2 linked regions of the Daphnia pulex genome follow. The protein of the gene in region 1 purifies or fractionates together with the protein of each later gene. This does not show direct contact. Links are inferred from orthologs where the notes say so. Each region holds a gene or a part of one and is shown in the gene's direction. Other genes may lie near its edges.

Region 1 (2,965 bases):
CGCATCACGGCTAGAGTTTCTGGTTGAGGCTAAAAATTGCAATTTGAAATGTTTAGGATCCCGTCCTCAGTCTAAAATTTATATAATATCAAGATCCTACAGGATGATCCAAATGACGGATTTGGTCCATCAGGTGATTATTACGAACAGTACGTTCTTCTTCTTCAGAGTAAAGAAGGCGGTCAAGGTCGGGGAAGTCCCGGTTGAGATCGACACTGTTGTTGTTGGCTCGACCAATCAAGTAGTTATCTCCTCCCTTTGTTTAATTGTATAAGTTCGTGATCGTTTTCTCAAGTATTAAAATTAAAATTTACAGCAGCAGTGGCCATTTCCCAGCCATCTGGATTCATGCTGGGCATCAAGTGAATACGAGTCAAGTGGATCAGAGATCTAATGGACTCATTACCGGCCATATACTGTTCGCACAGGTAGTCGGCCATCTTTAGGAGAAGTTCCCGTCCCAAAACTTCATTTCCGTGCATATTGGCAATATATTTAAATTCTGGCTCCACTAGAGTAAAACAAAACAAAAAATAAATAAATAAGAAAATGTTACGGAATAATTTTTACAAGTCAAGATAGATAACAACTTACAGAGTTCATGGTATCCTGGCTCGTCCGAGAATTCAATCAACAGAAGTGGGTTTCCAGTAACCGAATTTTCACTGAGAGCGTACACTTTGGTGATATTTGGGCACCTGGAGTGAACGTCTTCCAAAATGGTTGCCAATTCTTCGTTGTTGTGGTGCTTGAATTGGAAAGCTGCTTGAACGACTGCCGGGGAAATCAAGACGATACAAAAAACAAGCGTCACCAAAGCTAAGCACATCTTCGATGCAGCCATCCCGTTTTAGTAATAGTTGCTGTACGACAAACACATCCAGCAAGATCCGCGGAAGGGCGCGCTCGAAAGGTCCTCTTATCTTTTTTCAACTGCAACTCCCACGCGAAGTCTTTCCTCGAGATATAGCCAGATACGCAGATGCTCACGCATAAGCTTGACAATCTATGAGACAAACAATACCGTGAGTCGTTCAAAGCGACTGCGCATAGGCGACTGGATCCCACCTTCCTATTTATCGATCCACTGCCTTGGTTTTTCTTTCATTTACGGTTCTGTCTCATCCATCCCCATCCATCATTCATTCCCGCGACCCACATTAAAACAATTTGTTCATAAAATGTTAATCGAATATTGCATTCGTTAACGTCACTAAAAATTTATAAAAGTACAAAAATGGCTAGAAACATGGCAGAGCTATAGAATACTTCGTTAGAATGTTTTTTTTTATTTCAAATTTAAAAAAATTTTAGTTGAAAGAAATTATTAGTTTTTAAAATCTGGCAACATCTAGAGCACGTTGAGACTTGAGATTTGAGAAGGCGGTTTCTAGTCTTCGACTTTCAACACGTTTCACAACAGTTGCATGATTTTCAACGAATAAAACTAAAAAATGGCTAAAGAAAGCAAGGATAAAACAAGTACAGCTGTATTACAGTACTTTATCATGCAAAACAGGCCATTTGCTGTCAACGATCTTTTACAAAGTGCACAGCTTAAAGATTTTGGGAAGGCTGCTGTTCAGAAAACATTGGATCAATTTGTTGTGGTATTTGGGAGTAGTTTCATTTTTATTGCTTTCTTATGTTGTAGAATTTCGTCTTTGTTACATTTAGGCTGGGAAAGTAATGGAAAAGATTTATGGAAAACAGAAAGTTTATGCCATTAACCAAGATCTGGTTTCGTCACCTGCTGGTGACTTGAATATCGCTGAAATAGATGCTAAAATATCTGAACTCACAAGACAGAATGTAGAAGATGAGGCTTTCATTAAAAAAGCTGAAAGTGAGCTGAAAATTCTGAACTCTACATTGTCGATAGCAGAAGCTACTTCTCAACTGAAAATGGTATTTTGTTTTCTATTTTGTTTACTTATTATGTTCTTTGAGGTGAACTTGTCTTTGTTTTGCAGCTGTGTGAAGAAAATGAAACAATGGAATCAAAGCTAAAGGATTTGTCCCAAAATAAAGTGAAACTTTCTGCTGCTGACTTCAAGAAAGCGTGTGTAATAAAGGAAAAGACTGCATCTGAGTTACGAAAACGAAAGAGGATATGTGGAGATATGCTTGACCAGATTTTGGAAAGCTACCCCAAGGGAAAAAAAGCTTTGCTCGAAGAAGTTGGAGTAGAAACTGATTAAGAAAACTGTATTGTCCCTTTCACCAAACCAAATATTCTCTTCTGTTGTCCAAGGGTTTGGTAACATTATTTTAAAACAAGTTCATTATTGATGTTTCAATATATCATTTATTCAGGACATGTACCAAAGCCTTACATTCTGAAGAATTTCATCTATGGTTTACAAAAATTAAAGATTGGTGTGTCAAACAACGAAAATTAGCGTAGGAAACTGTGCCGGTATAAAATTTAAACAAAGACATCACACTTTGTCGAAGGACTTTGGTATATATCAGACTGTAATGGGAGCCTCACCCACTTTGGTCAAGGATAAAGCATTTGCGGCCATGGGAACAAGATACTCTTTAGGAACAAGACCTTTCCTGTTTCTTGCTTGGACTAGCCAGCTGGCTCCGCTTTTGGTGAGCACCTGAACAATTTCTCCACTGTTAATCGATAACTCCAAATTGTTTGTAGCGACGTACGCCCATCTGGCTTTGTATAGTTCTTTCTTAGGTTTACTGATAATCGTAACGGTTGAATCATTCAAATTTTTTGATTCAGTTGGAAGTTGTCCAGAGGCTACTTCCTCGTTTTTCATCACACGCCGCATAAGCTTTCGATTCAGCTCATCTGCTAAATTTATGGATTCGCCCGTCTTAATGGTCAAAGGCGAACGAATGGGCGCAGGGGGTCTTGGAGGTGGCTCTCTTTTGTTACTGTTAGAGTTGTCAATATTGCTAGCTTTTACTCCGGGATTAAAAGTAGAATAGGACATTTTCCCCT
Region 2 (3,255 bases), on another chromosome or scaffold:
ACAGAATATTGTTAAACATACCTAAAATTGAATTGTTACTAGGGCGTTCAAACTCTGATCCACTGTGCAGTATCAGAGGAAACGGAAAATGAAACGGGACTTTTTTATCGTGACTGCAAGGTTTATCAAAGTCAACTTAAAGCTAGCTCAAATTCCACAATCATTAACAAATTATGGGAGCTAAGCTGTAAAATGTGTAAGATTGAATGGTAGTAATTTCAGTTCAATACAATTATTAGTAAAGTGACATGATCATTTCTGTATTATCAGTTACCTTAGCTTAACCTATCATAATTCATTTTTCTGGTTCACTAAGACTTCTTTGTGGCCTTAAAAGTTTCATCAGCACATGTGCATCAGCTGGCTCAATTCTCTTGTAGTATTGTTCTTTTGTTTCAACAATTTCAAAGCCAAATTTCTTGTAGAAGTCAATTGCACTTTGGTTGTTAACTTGAACATGGCTGTTTTGAAAAGTTAAGTCTTAAAAACATATTTTTTTTTCTCAATAATAAAATATAATTACAGAAAAATGCTATGAAAATCCCCATCCTTTTCCACGTAGTTTAGGACATGTTCCAACATTTTGGCACCAATACCCCTTTTCCTGTATGGAGCTAGGCATCCCAGGGTCATGATGTACAATCTTCTTGATCCATCTAAAATATCGATCCTACAGCATACAGCTCCCACCACAATGTCATTATAGTATGCTGCACAATAAAATGTGATAAATGTAAGGAGAAATAAAAGGAAAATCAAGTATGTGGTACCTAGCTTAGCCAATTCTCCTGCTTCTAGAATATCTTTATAGAACTTGTCGTTGTAGGAAACTGGAAATACCACTTGATTCAATCGTTTCAGTTGTTGTAGGTTGTGAGGTGTGACATCCCCCAGTTCTATTGTTGCCCTGAAATAAAATAATCCTTTGTAATTGTCATCGGCATGCAAAACGGGATATTCAGTGGCAGTCACACATACAGCTTGTTAAGACTTTAAGGTAAGCTATAATAGAGTTTGTTTTTAAAAACACTGTGTGGAATGCTTTACCAATTACTTCCCCAAAAACATTCAGTTTATTTACCTGGTCATTTTTGTTCCAGTCAAATTTCAAGGGGGCTCACGTTTTGATCGATGTGATTTCGGAAATTTACAGCAGACAGAACTCGAAACCGAAAAAACCCATGGTGCGGCGACGACATCGACAGATCAAAATTTTCATAAACAATATTTGCAATCATTCACAGTTTCAATAATAAAATTCCACGTTGCTAATAAAATGAATCGAAAAAATAAAAAAAAATCCATACGAAGTCCGTACGAATCAAACTTAAAAAAATTGCATTATCTGTGAATGCCTCTCAAGGTGGCTCAACTGGCAACGTCACAAGATTTTTTGAATTTCTCAGTTAAAATTCACTTGGTTAAAGAGTAGTAGTTAAACGTCAAGAAAACGTGTCGTCTCGTCTTATTACAATATAAATTTGAGGAAAAGAAGCTATTAAGTCAAACAGTTAAAATATTGACATTAAAATGACATCCAAAAAACGTGGACTTAGCCTGGAGGAGAAACGTAAAGGCATGATGGAAATTTTTTATGAAAAGAAAGACTTCTTCCAGCTTAAAGAATTAGAAAAAATTGCCCCAAAAGAAAAAGGAATTGTACAAGGAACAGTAAAAGATGTGATTCAAAGTTTGGTGGATGATGGAATGGTTGATACAGACAAAATTGGCACATCAATTTATTTCTGGGCCTTTCCTAGTAAGGCAATCAATGCAAAAAAACAGAAACTAGTGCAACTGGAAAATTCTAGTCAACAACTGAAGAAGTTGAGAGTTGATGTTGAAGCAAAGTTGGCAGAAAAAAGAGTAAGTTGAGGCGTCATTAGATAATTTTCTATCTTTTTTGTTTTTGTGCACTTAGACTTAACTGACTGTCGTAATTTAGGTTGGACAACAGGATGATGATACAAAAGACGAATTATTACAAAAGTTAAAGGAAGCACAAGTACAAAACGCTGAATTGAAAAGAAGTCTGATTGAATACCAAGAACTTGATCCTGATGAACTTGAAAAACTAAAAGCAGAATCTCAGGTGAGTCTTTCTTGTGTTGGCAGTTTCTTTCATAGTATATTATAGCAATTGCTCTCACAGGTTTCTTTGGAGGCTGCGAACCGTTGGACAGATAATATTTTCGCCGTCAAATCCTGGTGCAAATCAAAGTTTTTTATGGAAGATAACCAATTAAACAAAGCATTTGGAATTCCGGAAGAATTGGACTATTTGTAGAAGCCTCAAGAATGCTTTCTGTAAATAATTTAGAAGCATTGTTTAAAGCTTTTTGAATTCTTCCTTGTCTCTTTCCCATGTCCTTGACTGAATTCTGTAAGAACCTGGATACTTTCAACGATATTTTCCTAACATGTATAGTTTTCTGTGTAAAATACTTCAAATTTTGAAGTGCGTTTAATACAGAATTCCGTTTTTTTTTTCATTAACAGTGTTATTGTTTGGTCATTGATTGTCTACCAAAAACTTTAATAACAACACGGCGTATTATTTAGTTTCTATGAACAGATTAGAGAAACGTGAAAAAGTCGGAGTTATATGGTCGAGCTCTGACCATTCGGATTCTTACGTTTACTTTATTTCTTCTTGTTTACGTCTTGTGCTTATTTGTTTTGAAACTGATGTTCCTAGGATGGTAGTAGTTTCTAGCGTCTCGATAGGACAAATAGTGGAGAGCCTGTCTGCGCATCTGCCACATTTTATGCCTTTGCTTCCGAGTGGATAAAAACCACCACTTTTGCGCGCTGTCGACTCAGTGTTCAGCAATACACTCAATTGGCAACAGGTGAACCCTAGTATTTTAGATCTTTTCCCACATTGAATTTTAAAAGGTAAAACATAGCATTCTCATAGTAAGGAACGTAAATTAAGCTACATTTTTACCGTTCCGTGTATCGTAGAGTGCATGAACTTCTAGATTTCCATTTGATAATACGATTTTTGTTGTGTTTTGAACTCTTTTGCATATTAATGCAGTAGATCAAGTGCGTCATCATGTTACGCACTGTAGCATAAAAGTGTTTCAGTTCTCTAAAACATTACACATCCCCTGCGTGAAAATGTCTTTTATTTCATTTTTTTAAAGAATTTGTTACTACTAATTAGCGAATGGCGGTACGGTATCTTAGATATTGCTGATAATAGAGTAACTGTCATTGCGCAACCTGTCAAGGGTAAAGACGAAAAAT

Evidence for each region.
Region 2: the proteins of homologous-pairing protein 2 homolog (region 1) and meiotic nuclear division protein 1 homolog purify together in Homo sapiens (co-immunoprecipitation; 6 studies listed by BioGRID and IntAct, counting the BioPlex papers as one, with this or other methods). This does not show direct contact. The link is inferred for Daphnia pulex from reciprocal best matches to the Homo sapiens genes PSMC3IP and MND1.

What each region holds. Positions count from the first base shown.
Region 1 is NC_060019.1:10,186,736-10,189,700, reverse strand, and holds homologous-pairing protein 2 homolog, read left to right. Parts: upstream 1-1,366; 5' UTR 1,367-1,454; coding exon 1,455-1,610; intron 1,611-1,677; coding exon 1,678-1,908; intron 1,909-1,973; coding exon 1,974-2,201; 3' UTR 2,202-2,318; downstream 2,319-2,965. Other genes in the region: carboxypeptidase E-like, read right to left, coding at 1-29, 101-256, 315-511, 595-844; uncharacterized protein LOC124191075, read right to left, coding at 2,472-2,965. UniProt on the Homo sapiens protein: Plays an important role in meiotic recombination. Stimulates DMC1-mediated strand exchange required for pairing homologous chromosomes during meiosis.
Region 2 is NC_060018.1:2,102,894-2,106,148, forward strand, and holds meiotic nuclear division protein 1 homolog, read left to right. Parts: upstream 1-1,400; 5' UTR 1,401-1,530; coding exon 1,531-1,866; intron 1,867-1,945; coding exon 1,946-2,092; intron 2,093-2,152; coding exon 2,153-2,287; 3' UTR 2,288-2,496; downstream 2,497-3,255. Other genes in the region: retinol dehydrogenase 12-like, read left to right, coding at 43-213; probable N-acetyltransferase san, read right to left, coding at 296-461, 524-710, 771-907, 1,082-1,089. UniProt on the Homo sapiens protein: Required for proper homologous chromosome pairing and efficient cross-over and intragenic recombination during meiosis.